2 linked regions of the Diceros bicornis minor genome follow. The protein of the gene in region 1 purifies or fractionates together with the protein of each later gene. This does not show direct contact. Links are inferred from orthologs where the notes say so. Each region holds a gene or a part of one and is shown on either strand. Other genes may lie near its edges. The genes, in order: PDHB and PDHX.

The links.
Region 2: the proteins of PDHB (region 1) and PDHX purify together in Homo sapiens (affinity purification with mass spectrometry; 4 studies listed by BioGRID and IntAct, counting the BioPlex papers as one, with this or other methods). This does not show direct contact. The link is inferred for Diceros bicornis minor from reciprocal best matches to the Homo sapiens genes PDHB and PDHX.

The regions. Positions count from the first base shown.
Region 1 is NC_080741.1:58,307,195-58,317,829, reverse strand, and holds PDHB (pyruvate dehydrogenase E1 component subunit beta, mitochondrial), read left to right. Parts: upstream 1-5,066; 5' UTR 5,067-5,095; coding exon 5,096-5,137; intron 5,138-5,225; coding exon 5,226-5,279; intron 5,280-6,593; coding exon 6,594-6,701; intron 6,702-6,792; coding exon 6,793-6,855; intron 6,856-6,960; coding exon 6,961-6,996; intron 6,997-7,137; coding exon 7,138-7,423; intron 7,424-8,060; coding exon 8,061-8,171; intron 8,172-8,513; coding exon 8,514-8,605; intron 8,606-9,314; coding exon 9,315-9,456; intron 9,457-9,751; coding exon 9,752-9,897; 3' UTR 9,898-10,289; downstream 10,290-10,635. UniProt on the Homo sapiens protein: The pyruvate dehydrogenase complex catalyzes the overall conversion of pyruvate to acetyl-CoA and CO(2), and thereby links the glycolytic pathway to the tricarboxylic cycle.
Region 2 is NC_080770.1:33,541,058-33,551,692, forward strand, and holds the start of PDHX (pyruvate dehydrogenase protein X component, mitochondrial), read right to left. Parts: upstream 7,001-10,635; 5' UTR 6,986-7,000; coding exon 6,826-6,985; intron 1-6,825. Other genes in the region: APIP (methylthioribulose-1-phosphate dehydratase), read left to right, coding at 7,330-7,386.

The sequences.
Region 1 (10,635 bases):
ACACACACACGTGCACACACTTAATTTTACCATATGATCATTTAAAAATATTTTTTCAAAAAGCTTCTTTGTGTAAAGAAGGGGAGATACAGAGCCCTGATGGCCTAGTGGTTAAAGTTCAGCGCTTTCCACTTCGGCGGCCCAGGCAGACCACACCACTGGTCTGTCAGTAGCCATGCTGTGGCGGCAGCTCACATAGAAGACCTAGGAGGACCTACAACTAGAATATACAACTATGTACTGGAGCTTTGGGGAGGAAAAAAGAAAGAAAAGAGAGGAAGATTGGCAACAGATGTTAGCTCAGGGTGAATCTTTCCCAGCAAAAAAAAGGAAGAAAGAAAGGGAGATAACAGACATATACACTTATACACATATATATACACATACACAGAGAGCCCTCCTCTAAATACACAGGACTGAGTCATAGCCGCTGCTGTGGCAGGGGGAGGGGAGGAAGTAAGGTTCAGGGGCAGGAAGGGCGATTACTTTATTTCTTTCTGTACTACTTGAATTTTTTTCCCACAACAGGATAAATTTCCTATTTGAAAACATTTTTTAAATTAAAAATGAAATAGAAAACATAAGTGCATATGGATATATGGGAAAGAAATATGCAAAAATTCTAAAAGATATTTTACTCAGAAGTGGGATATAGAGTTTCCTTTTGGGAAAATGAAAAAAGTTCTGGAGATGGATGGTGGTGGTGGTTGAACAACAGTGTGAATGTATCTAATGCCACTGAACTGTACACTTAAAAATGGTTAAAACGGTAAATTTTATGTTTGCATATTTTACCACAATAAAAAACAATCTAATTAGTATATGAGCAAAAGACTTGAACAGACACTTCACCAAAGATGGATGGCAAGTAAACACATGAAAAGATGTTCAATATCCTTAAACATTAGGGAAATATAAATTAAAGTCATGAGGGATACTACCACACATCTATTAGAATGGCTAAAATGAAAAATATTGATAATATCAGGTTCTGGCAAGGATCCAGAGCAACTGGATATCTGATACATTTGTGGAGGTAACATAAAATGGTAGAGCCACCCTGGAAAAACAGCTTGGCAATTTCTTAAAGGTTAAACACACACCTAACATACAGTTGTACTGCTGGGTATTTACCTGAAGAAATGTTAAACTTATGCTCACACAAAACCCCGCAAACCAATGTTCATGGCAGCTTTATTAATAGCTTAAAACTAGATACAACCCAAATGTCCTTCAATGAATGAATGAGTAAAGTGATATAGCCATTCAACTAGTAAGCCATAAAAAAGAAAGAAATGTTGATACACGCAAACACTTGAATGGATCAAGGGCATTAGGCTGAGTGACAATAGCTAATCTCAACGAGTTACATATTGTATGATTCCATGTATAAAACACTCTTGAAATAACAAATTATAGTGATTGAGAACAGATCAGTGATTGCCAGGAGTTAGGGGTGGGGGAGGGTGTGACTTTGAGGAAACACGAGGAGTTCTTTCTGGTGATGGAAAAATTTTGTATTCTGATTGTGGTAGTGGTTACATGAATCTGTACACGTGATAAAATTCTATAGTACTATACACATACACACACAAAAGAATGCATATAAAAACTGGTGAAAGCTGAATAAAGTCTCTATCCAAGTTAATAGTATTGTACCAGTGTCAGTTTCTGGGTTTTGACAATGTGTATGGTTATAAAAGATATTATCATTTGGCAAATCTGGGTGAAGGGTGCATGGAAATTCTTTGTACTATTTTTGCAACTTCTCGTGAGTTTTAAAGTCTTACAAAAGAAAAAATCAGAAGAAAAAAATAGGAGTAAACTATTGATACTTAACAACAACGAGGGGCGGGCCCCGTGGCTTAGCGGTTAAGTGCGCGTGCTCCGCTGCTGGTGGCCGGGGTTCAGATCCCGGGCGCGCACCAACGCACCGCTTCTCCGGCCATGCTGAGGCCGCGTCCCACATGCAGCAACTAGAAGGATGTGCAACTATGACATACAACTATCTACTGGGGCTTTGGGGGAAAAAATAAATAAATAAAATTATAAAAAAAAAAACAAGGAGGAATCTCAAACACATTTTGCTGAGCTAACGCAGCCAGATACAAAAGGGTATACACCGTCCAACTCCATTTATTTCAAGTTCTAAAACAGGCAAAGGAAAATACGATGATGGAAATCAGATCTGTGATTGCCTGTGGGGTGATGTGTGGGGAATGATCGGGAGGAGACATGAGGGAACTTTCTGGGGTGACGGAAATGTGCATTTTACTGTATTTAAGTTACACCTAAGAAGGTAGAAGGAGTGAAAAGCCCCCTTTAATAAACCTTGTTTGCAATGACAAAAAAAGTTGGTCATGTCCATAGATATCGAAAACTGGACAAAGGACTTTCTGACAACTGACAAACCAAAGTGACTTGAGGACAAATGTTCCTATAACTTTGGAAAGATTTCATTCCAAGAGAGAAATGGCCTGATTGGCCAATATATACTTTCCAATCCCTTTCTGTAAACTCTAGTGAGCATATGAATGTAGACTTTTTGAAATGATTATGGATTTAAAATTCACACTTTTATCTTTTGTGTCTTCTACACTTAAGGGAAATTCGTGCCTAGCTTTTCCAAACTGGCCATTTATAGAGTTTGAAAGGAAAGCCCATGTACCAATGAATATACCTAATGTATTTGAAATGCCCACAGCCATCATTTCAAAAGAAGATTTTCAGCTGAGGCCAGCTGAGTCCTGTGGAGTTGCACTGTCTTCCTGACTGAGCTGGCCAGACTAGCTGCACAGACTGAGTGTTCCTGGCGATTTTGGATCTCTGTATAAATATGGCCCCAGAACACTCTCCTTTGTCTAGACAAAACAGTCCAGATTCTGGCTTCTCTTTGGGTCATTCTTCCTTCACTTCGAGATCTCCTTTTGCTTTGTAATTTTAATCCCGAAGTCTTGCAGTGCTGGGTGGTGGGAGAGCTGACTCACATTTTCATTCTAAGCAGAATCCAGTGTCCACACAAATAATCCATAATCAATCTATAAATCAAAATTGGGGGTGAATTTATTACCAGCCTGGTCTGAGAACTATAACCCAGGGAGCTTCCTTCCCCAAGGAAGGAAGCAAACCTAAGAAATGGAGTGTACAGAGTGGTTATATACTGCCTTGGAACAAACAGCATACATCACATATGATAGGAATATCTCTTTTACTACTGTCACAAGATGCTTAGCTGGCACAGCAGGTCAGTGGTCAGCAGGTCAATGGTCACGAGGTGAGCATAACAGATTGGTAATTAATCCTTAGTTTCTAGGAAGAGATGCTTATCCTTAAGGAAATGCCAATGTGGGGCGAAGCTACATCCCTATCTTTAATGGCATCATTCTTATCTTTGGGAAATTATAAATATTTAAAGCAGATGTACAATGCATGCTCAACAGGCCACATCAGGCACTTTGGAAAAACAAAGTCAAGTCAAATTAGTTTTAAATCAAATGGCTTCTTCATATACTCCAATATGTCCTATTGATTTTCATTTATTTTTCACCAGGATTCCCTGACGGCTGACATCTCAAATTCAGGGGTTTCTCAGGGATGCTGGGGCTGTGGGGAAGTGCTGAGGTTTCCTGCCAAGGACTGAAGGGACTAGATGGTGGCACCAGGTGAGGGAGACACGGAAGGTCTTGACTCCATACCTTAGAGACTATCTCTCCATTTTACAGATGATGAAGCAGAGGCCCAGAGATTAAAGGCCATCTCTATGCAGCTGTCCCCAAATTTATATTTCTAGCCCTACCTAGCCTCAAGCTCCAGACTCCTCTATCCAACCTGGGTATGGCCCAGTCATCTAAACTCAGCTTGTTCAGAATAGACTCTTAACCTCCCACCTGGTCCCAGGCTCCACCCCTCCCCCATCCACCCAACAACAACAAAAAACCCGAAATCTTCCCCAACTCTTCCCTTCCCTCACAGCAATCCTACTGATTCTAGTCCCAAATAGATCTCAAATCTGTCCCTTCCTCTTCACCCTGAAACGGCCCCCTAGTCCAGCTCTCTCTCTGCCTAACACTCCCTGGGGTGTCCCTGCTTTTGCCCTCATCCTCCACCTCATTCTCCCTCACCAAGCAGATCTAGTCACTTCCTTGTGGCACCTGGAGCCCTTAGATACAACCCAGACTCTGAGGTTGCAGACCAGCAGCATGCAGCCCACAGAAGGTTTTTGTCTGGAATGTCTTGGAGATAAGTGAGGACTGAGGGAGTCCCCAGTGGTCCCGCCTGACCCCCAAGGGTCGAACGGAGACCAATGAGAGGAAGCTTCCAGATGCTGCCCCTAGTCAAGTATTTGGCTTCATACGGTCCTCTCTAAATGCAAGTTGTTGTAACCTCCTCCCAGGCGGGACCCCAACTTCTGCCTCAGAAAGCAATGGGAAAAGTCAGACAGTCCTAAATTAAAATCCCGGCTCATTTAACCAATCTGCTTCAGTTTACCCATCTGCGAAATGGAGATAATAATAACAAAATTACCTGAGAGGGTTCCTCTAAGAATTAAATGAGCTGTAAATAAAGCACTTCCCTACAATACCTGGCATGCAGTAGGCGCTTAATGCGCCAGTGAAAGCTCTTGTTCGCATTCTAAGGGACCAACAGACATTGCTGTCCAGAGAAAAGTAGGATCGCTCATAATGCAGTAAGTGCCGCGCCACTGGAGTGTGTGCAAGCGCTACTTGGTGCCCAAAGGATTTCAGTGCCCGCAGAAGGCTGGCCCTCTAGCCTCGAGTTATGCTCCTTAGTGTCTGACTTGTGGTCCCCGCGCTTCATCCCACACCACCCAGGGACGTGTCCCCAGCGTGCAGTCCGCATGTCAGCCGCAGCGCACTCTCAATAAAGTTCACTGAAGTCGCCGGAGCAAGTGCGGCAGGCCCAGCCCAAGCGCCACCTCGGCCCCGCCCCTCGGCCCCTCACCCGGGGAGGGGATGGGCGGGGCACGCAGGCGTCGCGCCCTGCTATTGGCCGGTGCCGGCGGGGGAGGCGGGGCCTGGCGCCCCCGCGGCCCCGCTGTGTTGTCATTCGGCGGCCGCTAGAGGACACGGTCAAGATGGCGGCGGTATCTGGGCTGGTGCGGAGACCCCTGGAGCAGGTAGGCAGCGGCGCGCGGGCCCCGGGACCCTGCGCGATCCCTGCCCACCTTGCGTCCCCTCTGAGCGTCCTCTCTCTCTCCCCGCCAGGTCTCCGGGTTCCTGAGGAGACGCTTTCACCGGACGGCGCCGGCGGCGCTACAGGTAACTGGCCTGGACGCTAGCCGGGGCGTGGAGGGGCCCCTGGTCCCGCGGCGGAGGCCGGGGTCGCGCCTGCGCTGTGGCGGGTGGGCACCGAGGGCAGAGGGTGGCCGCGGGCGTTGGGCGTCTACCGAGTCCCGCGTCGGACTGGTGCTGCCTCTGTGATGGCCAGTCCCCAATCACAGCAGCATGTCACCCCCGCGAGGCTCACTGGAATCAGATGGGCGATCTGAGGAAACGAGACTACGCTTCTTCCCTGACCCCCTTTTATTAATTTTTTATTGTGGCAAAATATACATAACATAAAACTTACCGTTTTAAAGTGCATCTTGAGCGGCGCTAAGTATGTTCACCATGTTGTGCAACCATCATCACATTCATCTCCAGAACTTTATCATCATCCCAAACAGAAACTGTGCCCACTAAACAATAACTCCCATTTCCCCTTAGCCGCTGGTAACCTCTGTTGTACTTTGTGTGTCTATGAATTTATCTATTCTAGGTACCTCCTGTAAGTGGAATCATACATTAGTCCTTTTATACCTGGCTTATTTCACTTATGTGTTTTCAAGGTTCATTCATGTTATAGCAGGTGTCAGAAGTCCCTTCCTTTTTAAGGCTGAATAATAGTCCATTGTATGCGTATACCACATTTTATTTATCCATTCCTCTGTTGATGGACATTTGGTTGCTTCCACTTTTTGGATTTGAGAATAATGCTGCTGTGAACGTTGGTGTGCAAGTATGAGTCTCTACTTGGGTATATTATCTAGAACGGGAATTGTCAGATCATATTGTAATTCTGTGTTCTACGTTTTGAGGAATTCCCCCCTCCTTTTATTTTTTATTGGAGAATTCTACCAACCTGTATAGTAAAATAACTCCTAGATCCTGAAGGCAAAGTGTTTGGCAGTGCCTGGCACCTAGTGAGTTGTCAGTATGTAGTATTATTTATGCTTTCTTGACAGTTCTCTGCCCCACAGTACACCACGTGTGGAAATAAAACAAACCACTATACTTTCTACTTGGGAAACTGCCTATGAGCTGGTCTGGCCAGCAAGCAGATTTTTTAAGCTTAGGTGCACGTCAAGAAAAGTGTTCAGTAAACTTCTCATTAACACATCCAACCAAAGACTGGCTGTGTGTGATAGAAATGTTACTTTTAGAATTCTTTGAACTTTTAAAGAGAAACCTGTTCCAGTGGTAATTTTTATATGGTATGCTATGGACAGCCTAGGTGATTATAAAGAGAGAGACTCTCAATAGTATCCTAAATAATCCTTTAGCTTATTGACTGTTTTCCCATACCTGTGACAGGTGACAGTTCGTGAGGCTATAAATCAAGGTATGGATGAGGAGCTGGAAAGAGATGAGAAGGTGTTTCTTCTTGGGGAAGAAGTTGCCCAGTATGATGGGGCATACAAGGTAACCAAGATACGGGAAAGCTATACAAAACTGAGGTGGCCGTTTGCCCCCAGATACACTTAAAAGTAATGGGGTCAATGCTTAATTGTAGGTTAGTCGAGGCCTGTGGAAGAAATATGGAGATAAGAGGATCATAGACACGCCCATATCTGAGGTGAGCCTTCCATCAGGAAGCTGACTTTTGAGGGGCATGTCTATTAAAGTGTACGCTGTTATAATTTCTATGGATTTTCACTTATGTTTGTGTTTTACTTTATAGATGGGCTTTGCTGGAATTGCTGTAGGGGCAGCTATGGTATGTAATCCTCTTTATGAATCTGATCCAAAGAAATTCTTTTAACATGACCTTTTAAAAACGTTTGAATGTTGGAAGAGCGGAGGGGTTGTTTGCCACTCTTCATTGCTGTTTTTAACATCTGTGTTTTTTATTTGACAGGCTGGATTGCGGCCCATTTGTGAATTTATGACCTTCAATTTTTCTATGCAAGCCATTGACCAGGTTATAAACTCTGCTGCCAAGACCTACTACATGTCAGGGGGCCTTCAGCCTGTGCCCATAGTCTTCAGGGGGCCCAATGGCGCCTCAGCCGGCGTAGCTGCCCAGCACTCACAGTGCTTTGCTGCCTGGTATGGGCACTGCCCAGGCTTAAAGGTGGTCAGCCCCTGGAATTCAGAGGATGCAAAAGGACTTATTAAATCAGCCATTCGGGATAACAATCCAGGTCAGCAGAGTAAGCCTTGGGTCTCTTTTGAACATTAAAGAACTAAAGTGAGGGCCGGCCCCGTGGCTTAGCAGTTGGGTGCGCGCGCTCCGCTGCTGGCGGCTCAGATTCGGATCCCGGGCATGCACAGACGCACCATTTCTCCGGCCATGCTGAGGCTGCGTCCCACATACAGCAACTAGAAGGATGTGCAGCTATGATATACAACTATTGACTGGGGCTTTGGGGAAGAAAAATAAATAAATAGAATTAAAAAAGAAAAAGAACTAAAGTGAAATCTTTGCATGGAAGGAACCATTAAAGTCTTCTAGTTAGGCTTAGACATATCATATAAATGTTAATGATGTAGAGATAGAATAAAAATAGTAAAAAATGTTTTTCTTATTTCTGACTATAAGGGGGCCAGTAAGGTATAGGAAACATTTACTACACACTTACAACGCTGGTTTAACCTCAATAGATAAAATTAGGATTGACCAGACTACAAATATCAGTACCTAAACCATCTTCAAGGCTGCTGGCCAAGATAGATAGATACAAGGCTTCCTAATCAGCACAGTGAAACTTTTCACAAAATGAATAATAATGTTGTGTATACATTTTTAGTCATGTAGTTACTTTTGTTTATATTTTGCAGTGGTGATGCTAGAGAATGAATTGATGTATGGAGTTCCTTTTGAACTTTCCTCAGAAGCTCAGTCAAAAGATTTTCTGGTTCCTATTGGAAAAGCCAAAATAGAAAGGCAAGGTAAGAGAATTTAGTATACATTTAAACATTATTTGTAATCCAGCCCTTCTGTTTATGTTGGTCAAATTCAATCTAGAGGTTATTGCCCTTTGCTTTGACTAGGAAGTTATAGGATGAGTTCAAGTTAAGGATGTGTCATGCCCTGATTGCTCATACACTTGTGCGTTTCTAAATATCAGTCTGGTAGATTTTTGTTTCATTTCTAGGAAGGCTGCTACACTCCTCACTGGAATGAAGTTGAGTTGAAGATTTTACAAATGAACAAGAGCCACAGCTGTCTGCAGAGTGGTACAGCGCCTTTAGTTTCAACCTGACCTCTGATCTGTGACCACTTTGTTTCAGGGACACACATAACTGTAGTTTCCCATTCAAGACCTGTGGGCCACTGCTTAGAAGCTGCAACAGTGCTGTCTAAAGAGGGAATTGAATGTGAGGTGAGTGGACATTCACTTGTTCTTACAGAATCAGAAAGGTTCTTTTTAAATTTAAGACCCAGAAATTAGAGTTTGAGTTCTGTAACAGGTTAACTAGATGTAAAATCTTGCTTTGTCCCTCAGTTCTGCCTCTGCTTGAAGCTGGGGACCTATTTGCTTTTCACACACCTAACTTTTTACCACTTGGTTCTGGATCTTCTAGAATAGTACGTGCTTTTGCAAGTTAAGCTCCAACCTGGGAGCTGGGGGTTGGGAGAAGGGGAAACTGAGAAGTCAGTGAGTCTAACCTTTTCATATTCAGGACCTACCACTTGCTAGTTACACTTGGGCAAGTTATGTACTCTGAGTCTCGGTTTCATCAGCCATAAAATGGGGATAATATATTTTCTGTCCCATCAGGGTGGTTGTGAGAATTACACTTAGTGTAGTATCTGGTACACAGTAAGCAGGCAAATGTTAGTTATTAATTATTTTGGTGAGAAGGAAGTTAGAGCCAAGGGAAGATGAGTGAATTTAGTAAGTTAGAGCTACTTTTGGTAGAAATCAAGCATTTTGTTTTAATTACAATTTCCCCTTTTACATTTTGTTCATGAATAGGCAGGTTAGATTTTCCTAGACCCAAAGATTAATTGGAAACAAAAAAGGAAGTGGTATTGGGATAAGACTATATTTGTGATGTAGTGGCTCTATTATTATGTTATCTGTTTAGGTGATAAATATGCGAACCATCAGACCAATGGACATTGAAACAATAGAAGCCAGCGTCATGAAGACCAATCATCTTGTAACTGTGGAAGGAGGCTGGCCACAGTTTGGAGTGGGAGCTGAAATCTGTGCCAGGATCATGGAAGGTATTTCAGAGAAACGGGTTGTAGAATAGTCAAACTGTAATAAACTTTGTGTACCTGGATACTGGATAAAGAGAGCAAAAGCTAGGGGTGGCCAAACGACTTGAACTTTCAACTTGTAACTTTGGCATTTTTCCTTTGGGTAAATGTGTAAAAAAGCAAAGCCAGAAACAGTTCCCCATAATTAGCATTCCTTTAGATTTTCCCTCTTCCTTGGGCACCCACACCTTTTGTGCCAAGGTAGTGGTGCTCAGCTGGCTTTTCTTGCCTCTCTCAGTTCAGCCTCCTTCTCTTCTAGGCCCTGCATTCAATTTTCTGGATGCTCCTGCAGTTCGTGTCACCGGTGCTGATGTCCCTATGCCTTATGCAAAGATTCTAGAAGACAACTCTGTACCTCAGGTTAAAGACATCATATTTGCAATAAAGAAAACATTAAATATCTAGTTTGGACTTGAATACCAAGGCATTGAGATTTATTTAAAATACTTGCTGACACTTCACCTGGAGTGTACTCTAAGACCTTGTGATTCATAAAGTTATCTCTAAAGCAACATGTTTTTGTACTGGGAAGAAGTTTAAATGTGCTTGTATGTGGAAAAACTCTCCCCTCTCCTTCCCTAGACTCCATGCTTTTTTTTGTCTGTTATAATGGCCATGTTCTTTGAATGAGACTAATGTAAAATTGACCCTCTCACTAGAAGGACAAGGTGTGCAGGTGGCAGAGTCCTGATGAAAGATATACCAAAAAAGACAACTTATGTGTAAAAATAAAAGCATATAATCTACATTTACTGTTAAATTGTTTTGATAAGGAATAAAGGAATCCCTAACCATGACTAATTGTATTTTTATATTCTTGAAGTAATAAATGTGAGGTGGAGTCTTAAAATTCCATTAAGAAATAAGTGCCATCAGGAACTAATCACTAATCATTAATCACCTAGACTGCATCACACTTAGAACAGGAACTTGCCCACAGACTCTTCAAATGCCTAATTCTAACAGGGTGCCCTTTAAAATTATTAGGGTATTTTTCCCATTGCCAAAAAACAGACATTCTGCCATACTCTTCCCCTCTTCAGAAGTTGAGATGGAAAAGGCAGGTTTAAGTTAGTTACAGACGTGTACAACTGGTACCTAACTTAAAGACCAAGACAGGATTGTTAGCTCTTATTACTTAAG
Region 2 (10,635 bases), on another chromosome or scaffold:
AACAGCCCCTTAATACAGCACCCTGAATTCACAAAAATGGTCACTTATTAACCTCTCCTCAAATTACTCTTTTTAAGAGTGTCATCTCTTCCCTGCCAGGACCCTATAGAAAGACTCCGGAGGGTGGCACTTCAGTAATGAGAAAGATTTCAAACCACAAGGAAAGTTATTCCATTTGAAGGAACAATATGAGCAAAAGAAAGGAAAGTACAGATGTTGAGGGAAAGATGAGTGGTCTGATAAGCCTAAATGCACAAGTAAATTAACCCAAACCCAGATCTGAATCAAGATTTCCAAATTACTGGCTTTGTTGTAGTCACTTATGTCAATGTAGCCACTAGTCATTTGCTTACAGTTGGAACCCCTACATTAAAACATATCTTTCTTGTTCTCAGATATGGTAAGTATCCTTGCAAAGTAGCACAACTATTTTATGTAGGAAATGATCAAAATGTGTATAGAAATAGGCTGGAGACTATGTAGTATTTATAGATAAATTACAGGGAGATCTACAAGTTCCCTGGAATCACATACAAAATTGAGGATATATGCATTTTTCTGAAGAAGTGGTATAGCTTTTACCAGTTTTCAAATAGATAAGTGCCCCTCTAAAAACCAGTGCTAGTAGATTCCCAAGGAAGCTCCCCTGAATTATAAATCAGCCAACCTTAATTCTTCCCTAGAAAAGTTTCATGTAATTGAAATTCATGTAAGTCCTTGATTGCAGAAAGGTACTGAGTAGATCATTGGTTTACGGAATCTGTTGATCCTTTCACACACTTAGTGTCCAATGGTACATTTGTAAGGGCTGGCTGAAGTGCTAGGTAGTCTATGGCTGCAGAACTATTTCCTCTGAGTGAGACAAACCAAACACTTCAGAAGAGGTTTCAGCTTACAACACTGGTCTTCTAAGTATTAAAGTATAAAATTAAGACTCTACATGAATCTCAGTTTATTTTGCAATCTTGGAACAACGGCAAAAAGAAATCACTACTCCACTTAAGAGTCTAGCAAAAGAATGAACACGTGCATAATAGTTTGGGGATTTACACATTTTGCTGTAAAAAGCAAATGAAGTTCAAGACAACAATAAGGCATATTTAAGAGTACATCATCTTAGAAACTTACAGATGGGGGATATTAACATGTTATAACTCTCTTAAATGGTCCTGCCACCCTTTATACACAGTCTAGATTTTTAGTATCTTAAATTGTTCTAAAATGATGTAATAACATTACTGTCACTGTCACTGAAATACTATTTCACAATGTAAACATTAGTAAACCATGTCTCACTTCATGAAACAAAAAAAAGCAGAGGGGTAAAACAGAATATACACATGGCGAACAAAACTTCAGCAAGCTGACACTGCTATGCTGACGTCTATAGCCAAGCTATCACACTGAGGTAGATGGCGGTTAAGGTTAAGGAAACAGGCTTTGGTTGTCAGGCAGACCTGGGCTGAAATTGGAGTTCTATCTCGAGCACAGCATTAGCTGCTGCGAATGCTAAATGAGTTAATTCACGTCAAGTGCTGAGAAGGGTGCATAGTACACAGTAAGGTCTCAATAAATGCTACTCATTATTCCCAAACCCACTCCTCCAACTTCTTTCTTGCTGGCAGAGCCCTAATTTTGTTAGCTGTATACCTTTCTTGTGAATACATGCTCTGAGTGAGTGACCTCATTACCTCGTGTCTCAGTCTGTTCAGACTGCTATAACAAATGCCTGAGACTGGTGGCTTATAAACAACACTGACTTCTCCCAGTCTGGAGGCTAGGAAGTCCAAGATCATGATGCTGGCAGGTTTGGTGTGGTGGCTGATGAGGGCCCACTCCCCAGTTCATAGACAATGCCTTCTCGCTGTGTCCTCCCATGGTGGAAGGGGCTAGGGAGCTTTGCAGGGTCTCTTTTATAAGGGCACTAATCCCATTCATGAGGGCTCCCATCATGACCTAAGCACCTCCCAAAGGCCCCCACTTCCTAATAGCAAAACAGTGGGCATTAGGTTGCAACATATGAATTGGGGGGGGGGGCACACAAATATTCAGTCTATAGTACCAAGCCCCTTGATTAGTCCAAGTCAATTCATTCTAAAATATCCAACAAGAAAGGACCTCTTTTCTTCCTCTGGATACTAGTATAGTATGTGCATAGTTCCAAAGCAGTCATCCACTTACTCACTAACCTTGGCCACACAGTAATCTTCACTGAGTCTCTATTTCTTCACCTGTAAAACACAACTAACCCTTGCAGGCTTCTTATGATGATCAGAAGTAATGCAAGTAAAGAATCCAAAACGAAGCCTGACAAATACTCAGTGCTCAAAATGTGATGGCTACTTGGAATGTCCCACTTTCATACACAGAACGAAATGTTTTAAAGCAATGCAAATATGTACTAAGTACTTCCTGATAATCCAAATCGTACTAGTTTCTCACGCAGCTGCTTCTACTAAGATCTCATTTATCTCCTTCCATGGCCACACATCTCAACTACTGAGGAGCCTAGATCTGTTTTGCTTAGGTGATCATACATTTTGCTTAGTCATTACTTATCCTAGAAACAATTAAAATGAAGAAGCACTTCACCACTGTCTTAGTTTAATCAGACTGTCGTAGTAACAGACATGCCAATCACTGATTCCCAACTGATACTTCCTTTTCAAAGAAGACGTCCAAACTGCAGGCTTTGAAGGAATCAGCCCTGTGTGCCCTAAACCACAACTGACCCACACTGGGTCATCAGCTTCCCTATCCAGGGAACCTGGAACTAGGTCACAGAAATGACGGTGCACACTCGAACTAAACTGAAAGAGCATGGAGCATAAGGGCCTGAATCAGCATGAAGGCAAGGCAAGCTGACATTACAGAGAGAGAAAAGCCATGAGTAGGCAGACTGGCAAGTCTGCGGAGAAAAGCAAATCAGAGAAAGAGAGAAGACAGACAATGGGAGCCCTAGAAGAAATGGATGGAATCGTCATGGTTCCCCCATGGCCCAAGTAGCCAGCCCTTCATCTACGTGGTGGTGTACTCCTCTAATAATTCCTATTTTTGCTTCAGCTGGTCTACGTATTCCTGTCTCCAAAGTTAACGGAGAATTCAAAGAACGGGATCAGTCTCATCAGTATCGGTGTAGAAGGATTTGATAAGCACCAGGCCTAAAATGGTATCCACGTTTTGGCAGAAATACCATACCATCAACTCCTATCAAAGAAGTTGCCTCCTTGTTATAGAACTGCTGTCAAAAATGTAGATGCCTACAGGGAATAGGAGGAGAGAGAAGTGGGCTAGCAGCATCTTAAAGTTTCTCTTTAGATCCAGACATGCTTTATTTTCATATTAAATCTACAGGAATTTTCTTCCTTTACATACATACCCACAATATCTGCTCTCTCCCATTTTTCCTGGTCTATCTCTTGTTTTCTGCTTTCCATAAAGACAAGGGTATAAGAAAAGAATGACAACTAGAGGTGATGACAAATACCAAGGGACATTCAGCCTTGTTGACTGAGAGGTAACAGAGAGTAGAGGGGACAGTAGTAAATTAGAAGAATTTCCTACCTAAAGATAATAATCATTCCTCAGTCTCAACCAACTGTCACCATATAGGCCCTAACTTTAAATTTTCAAGAGAAGACAAAAATCTAGATTTTTATGTGCAGTTCCTAGTTTTAAATGTTGTCAATAAATGTAATTTTCTTCTAACATGATGTAGAGTCAGTTCACTGGCTGTCAACTTGCAATCCTACTATAGACCTCTGTGTCCTTTTATAAATTCCTCGATTATAGACCTCTGTGTCCTTTTATAAATTCCTCGATTTTTCGCTTCCCTAGATATGTTTATTTAACATCTACATGCACAAGGTCTGTGGTTATATAACAGGCAAAGCACTACAAAGATTGAACCTCAACTATTTTTCCACCTAAATGTCATTTTAAATTCAAGATGTTATTTCTCAGAGACAACTTAAAATCATATTATCAATTAACATCTTATTATTAATTAAATTCCAAACCATGCCATTTACTCTGAGAGAGTAGCAACGGAAACTCTTCCAAGTTAACTGCCTCGGGTAGGCTGATAAACTGTTTACAAATGCTATGTCACTTATGTAAATATCCCATCTGGCCTCTGGGCCTTTAAATCTGCTATTCTTTCAGCCTGGAAGGGCTGTCACCCCTAGGAAGCCTTCTTATGTAGTCCCTTATCATCCTAAGTTTACCCCACAGAGCTCACTGCACACAGCACAGAAATCAGCCCTTAATGTTGATCTCCCCAGGCAGACTATTAATACCTTAAGGATAAGGCCTATACAGGATTCAGTATTGTGGCTCCAGAAGGTAAATGTGACTAAATGGGTCCTGGGCCAGAATACAGAGCATATGTTCTGTTCAGTAGGTCAACTACCTCCCAAGCAGGCCACCGTATGCCTAACAATGAATGCTCCTTTTTTCACTCAGTATCAGTAGAATGGTGAACAACAGTCTCTGCCCTCGCAATAAACGCTTCAGTGGAAAGAATGAAACAAGTTAGGGACTTGTTAAACATAGACACAAATTATATATATATATTTTTTTTTTTTTCTTCTTTTCATTGCATTAATATTATGCTGTGTGGCTTTGGGAGATCTACTTAATTTCTCTGGGCCTTAGTACTTTTGTACAGTAAAATGCAGATAATGCCAACTTTACTAGGTTGTTGTGAGGAGTAAGGTGTTCCAGGAAGCGCTAAGCACATGGCATATGTCATAGCTCATTAAAATGCTGCCAACAAACACCTCCTAAGGAAACCAAAACTCCAAGTGTACTCCCAACGGACAGATTTTTAAATCCTGGATAGACATGTGAAAGAGGAAATAGTTCAATAATTGTACTTAATTCATATAGTCTGTAGATTACCAAATAATTGCTTAGTTTTATGAAACTACACTTTCTACCAAGCTCAGAGAAAAACAAACAAACACGGTATAAATCTATGCTTTGTAAAACAAACAGTTCAAGGATTGCCATGTGTATTTGGCATGGCAAAACAAAAACCTGTCGGTGAAAAGTCAGGCAAATTTTGACTCAGTATTAGGAAAAAAATCCAAAATTTCCAAATAACTTAGAGCTAGCCAACAACATAGTCAGCTTCTGTGGTAGGCAGAATAATGCCCCCTGCCCTTCTAAGACATCTAGTCCTAACATCCAGAAGCTGTGAATACGTTATGCTACACGGCAAAGGGGAATCCAGGCTGAAGAAGGAATTAAGGTTACTAAACAGCTGATCTTGAGATGGGGCGAGCATCCTGAATTATCCAGGTGGGCCCAATGTAATCACAAGGGTCCTTCTAACTGAAAGAGGGAGGCACTGGGAAACTATGACAGCTTCCTTGGGATGTAGTGTCCTCTCCCTTACAAATGACGTTCGAGCAGAGTTAGAAAAGTTGTTCATGGTGTGTGTGGGGGTGGGTAAAATGTCATGATGCATCAGATAAAGATTGCCTAAGTGAGTTTCTAAAGGCAAAAGTCCTTACATTACGTGTAAGGAAAATCCCAGAGAAGTTCTAGAGCATTCAAAGATTCTCAAAAGGATCTGTTTTACAATCAAGGTTAAGAACACTTTTCCTAGATTATTCGCAACACTGAGCTTTTACTATTCCGTGATTTTCTAAGACAGTGAGTCTCAAAGGGTAGCCCACCAAACACCAACATAAAATATCAAAACTCACCTAAGGTAGTTTGTAAAATGCAGATTGCTGAGCTCCACCCCAGACAGAATCTCTGAGAACTGTAGGAAAGTGCAATATTTAACAAACTTGGGGGAGAAAGGACAGGGAATTCCCTACACAGATAAAAAACCACTGCTCCAAGGAGTATTTTATGAAACATTAAGCTGAAGAAACTGAAATAAATTGTTCCCATTGCCGAATCTTTAAAAATCTCAGTGCACTCATCCTACCGTGTGGCTGCAACTTTTTTTTTTTCCTGAGCCTCAGGCAGCTTAGAATATGTAGACAATGCCGACTGCACCTAATTTTTTAGATTAAAATTCATTCTGTAGAGCTCCAGAATGATGATTAGCAGGTCATATGTAACACACAAAAATTGTGGGTCCTAGCTCCCCGACCGACTCCCATGTAAAGAAAAATAATGCCCGGCATACTATATACTACATACCGTTAAATACTTGAAGCCTTGTGTTGTGTCGATATCATTAGTAAATGTCAACTTTCTATGATAAATTTCTTGAGACGATTCCCCTTCCAAACTTTCACTATTCCAAATGCATGTTTTGCTTAAAACATTCTCCCAGACCTATATCTGTGATGCCATGGGCAAATTTACAAACTAAGTCCTCCACTAGTCGCAGCGTGGGGCAACCTGAGTGGCCTCGAAAATCTCAAATAGAGATGGCCCAAGAGGATGAAGAAGGACAGCTAAAAGTGAGCGGCTTTTGAATCTCAGCAACCTGAAGCAGCTTTTCCCTATCCGAAATGCTTGACAACCCTAAAGCAACCTGAGACGCGACTGGGAAGGGGCCTGCGAGAAGAGCATTGAGGACCTCTCTGCGCGCCTCACAAATAACCCAAATTCCAAGGCAAGGTCACAGAGAAGCCATCCCAACCAGGGGACCAGGGACAGAGTCAAGTTCCCCCAGCTCCCAAGAAAGCCCTTCGCGGCATGCACCAAACCAAGTTAGCGGAGCCGTCCCCGAGAAAAGGCCGGGGGTCAGGAAGTCCCGGTACCTCCACACCCAGACGCAGGCCCTCAATCAAAAAGCCCCTGCCGAGGCCCCCCGCTCAGCTACACAGAGGAGCAGAGAAAGCCCCAGCCACTCACCCTGCAGCCACTGCGTGCTGTGAAGCCATCTCCAACCAGCTCCGCGGCCGACAGACCACCCGGCAGCCCCCGTAAGCACTCCCGTGCCTCGGCGGCCGCTAAAGCCCAAGACGCAGCGCAGAACCCGGGGGTCACAGCCCAGCCTCCAGGTGGCCGCCATCTTCCCGGCCTTCTCGCGGGCTGCCCGAAGCACCGCCTGAAGGCCCAGTCATCAGGCCCGCCCGGGACCGCCTCCCGGCCAGTGGCCACGCCCCCTGGGCGCCGGCCGATTCCTCCCGCCGCGGTGGCCCCCGCCTCCACAGGCGGCAGCGCCGCGGGATCTGCGGTTTGCGAGGCCCCCGGGCCCGCCTCCCGCCTCCCGCCTCCCGCCTCCCGCCTCGTCCGCGCCGCCCCCGGGGCTGCCCCCGGCGCCGCCTGGTGGCGTTGCGGCGCCGCACGCGAGCCCGCTTGCAGCGCCGGGAGCGACTCAGGTAGGGCTGGAGGCCGGGGTCCACTGGTCCGGCCATGTCTGGCTGTCGCGCTCCGGAGGGAGACTGCTGCTCTCGGCGAGGCGGCGCGCAGGTAGGGCGGGGCCGCCGGTGCCCTGGGCTCCGAGGAGGTGGGGGCTGCGGGGCGCTCCGCGTGCCGGCGTGGGGCAGGGCGCCGGGCGGTCCGGCTCTCCGACGGCGGGCGGGGGCACCGAAGGCCGGAGGGGGTGAAGTAGCGGAGCGAGGAGGCCGCTGGGCGTCTCCCGCGTGTCCTAAAGACTTGTCGGGAGGACGGGCCGCACGGCGAGGTGAAGCGCGCCGGTGCGCTGGAGCTGGGCCTGGCCTCGAGCTCGCCCCCTGCCCTGGCGCCCAGCCCGACGGTGGGCCGCAGGGGCACTCGGAAGCGCGGGCCTCGGTACCCGCACGTTTCCTCTGGGCATTGCTCTCTGCCTGCCTCAGTTTAGGTTGATTATGGGGTGATCGCAGAAGCGCTTCTTCCTTAAGCAGACGTTAAAGGGAAATCCAGCCTCGGGCTGTGTATACTTTTCACTCACTTATACACACTAACGGTTTTATGGGACCCTTCTAGGGGCTCAAGGATACAGTAGTGATTAAGGCAAGTGGCCTGGGGTGTAGAGGAAAACTAGAGCAGTGAACAGTTACAAGGCAGCGTGAGAAGCCCTGCTAAAGAGCCGGGAAAGCCTCCTAAAATTAGCCCCCTCATTGCTCCTGGTGTTCTTAGGGTTGAAGGTCTCAATTAAAAAGTAATAACATGCGGGAGATTTTATTGTGAAATACTTGTCAATGCCGACTACATTGGGAAGGAATGACAATTCCAAGAGCGGCAGATATTTATTTGGGCAATAGAATTGCAATTCAGGAGACACAGGTTCAGGCTAAAACCCAAAATGTGCTCCAAGGAAGACAAAGGAGGGAGGGGATTATAAAGGCAGAAAGAGAGAAATCACACGGGTTGTTTGCAAAATTTGTGATTGGTTCCGGCAACAACTGCTATTTCTTAGCTATCCGTGATTGGTAAGGTCATCTCTAGGGCAGAAAGTTCATATCTGTAGGAGTAAGCATAGCTCTTGAGAGGTCAAGATGACAGCAATGAAGCACAGTTCAAAAGTTACCTTCGGTCTGGGTAGACATGTGTGCGTACATGAGCCCCATTTCCTTCGTGGCCTCCCCGCTCCATTGTAGAAGCCTTGACATGTGGTATTCCATTTTGTTATTGCTATCCACATTTCCCCCTTTTGGTCAAGATCTTGTAGCAGAAAGCATCACGGATCAACCCTTTGATATATTGATGTTTCCCTCGTTGCCAGGAAGGCTCATTCCTGGGGAGTCATGTCCCTGGTAGCCGGTGCTCGATCATTAGTAGGAGTAATGCAGTCAGGGGCTTTGGCCATATGTGAGCAATGAGGAGGCAGTCACGAATTGAGTCCTAGGTCTAGTTTCTACCTGGAAAAAGTGTCAAGTCCTTTGTTCAGAGTTGCAGGATTGGTCAGTCATCTCAAGTCGCTGAGCAATCATTACTCTGGCAGTGGACACAAATATGCAGTATCATGAAATGCAAATCATTAGAAGTTTCAAGCAGGAAAAATTGAACAAACCAGAACAATAATCATTACTAGGGCCTGGAACCCTGATCTCAAAAGAGCTCGAGGCCAGAGGGTAACCAACCAAACAGGTTAAAGTGGTCCAGGTAGCCAGTAGTATGACCTGTATCGCTGAGGACATTTATATTATCTTTTATGACCTTTAACTCTTGGTTTATGTGACCAGACTCATTTACGTAGAAGCAACATTCTTCTCCACTCCCACAGACTCATTTACGTAGAAGCAACATTCTTCTCCCAGGAGTGCGCAAGTACTCCCTTGTTGAGCAGTTAGGATATCAAGAGCCCTTGGGTTATCTGATATAATCCCCCTTAGGGAGTTAATACAGTCCCCCTTAGGGAGTCCAGGGATCGTTGTTGAGCCAAGGCTTGAGCAGTAGAATTTGCCAGTGTAGCTGTGGTTAGGGATAAAATTTTGTCAACAGGTCATTATGGATAACATCAATCCAAGGGACAAACCCTTCAGCACTGGTAACCAGTAGAGAGTAGATGAGGTGTAAAAAGGGGTTGCCAAGCCTCGCCTAAACCTATGAGATTGTGGTTGGATTTTTTTCCTTTAACAAGAACTTGAAATGGAATATTATGGTGTCGTAAAAGGCATTATCCTTTCGTGTGCCAGCTGTCTGGATGTTCATAAGCTCATGCTTCCTCGTAGTAACCAGACACAAAGTTGTACCCAAAGAGGGGCATGCAGCATGCAATGCTTTCTAGTTCTGCAGCAGTGTCAGCAGTCAGGAGCACTTGGCAAGGCCCTTTCCAATGGGGCTTGAGGGCTGTCTTCCTCTCATGATGCTTCCAGAATCCCCGGTCACCAGGCTCTGCACTCTGACCAACAGGACCCTTTAAATTGGAATCTGTTGCTGATAGGCTTGAGCATAAAACAGTAGAGACTTACGCTGGCTGGCCATATTAGCATAAGACAACAGGGGATCAGCAGAAAGTTATGTACCCGTAGACACTGATCTGCTGGTAACTGTCTCATGTAACATTAGTTTGTATTTTCCAAAGAGGGTACTTCAAACAGTTGGCGAGGCCAAAGGCAATACCTTAGGCCAGGGGAGTCTAGTCTATAGATATATAACAAAACCTGAAGACAATTAACAGGACTAGAATCTAATATTTATAAGGGTGCACACGTAATTTTTATCTCTACAGTTATCCTCATTTTTTACCAAAATAATCACAGCAAGACTAATTTGTTTATATTAAAAACTTGGCCTGATTTTTTATACAAGTGGAAATAAAACTACTCTCAGAGTTTCTGAATTCTGGCGGATCAGGTAGGGAGGAAAAGTAAATGTTTCATCTATGTTCACAAAGGTATGTCTTACCAAATTGTTGATAGCTTAAAAGAAAACATTTCTTTTTTTTTTAGATTTTATTTATTTTTTCCCCCCAAATCCCCAGTAGATAGTTGTATGTCATAGCTGCACATCCTTCTAGTTGCTGTATGTGGGACTCGGCCTCAGGATGGACGGAGAAGTGGTGCCTTGGTGCACGCCTGGGATCCGAACCCGGGCCACCAGCATCGGAGCACGCGCACTTAACCACCAAGCCACGGGGCTGGCCCGAAAACATTTCTTTAAATCTGGAAAAACAAAACATTAGAGCATCTTTCTTAGCTCACGTAGTCCCATGTAATTTAATGTTTTTTCTGCTTGAATCCAGTTTTTCCATTAGTTTTCTCAACTTTGCCTGATGATTGAGGGTGATAGGAATAG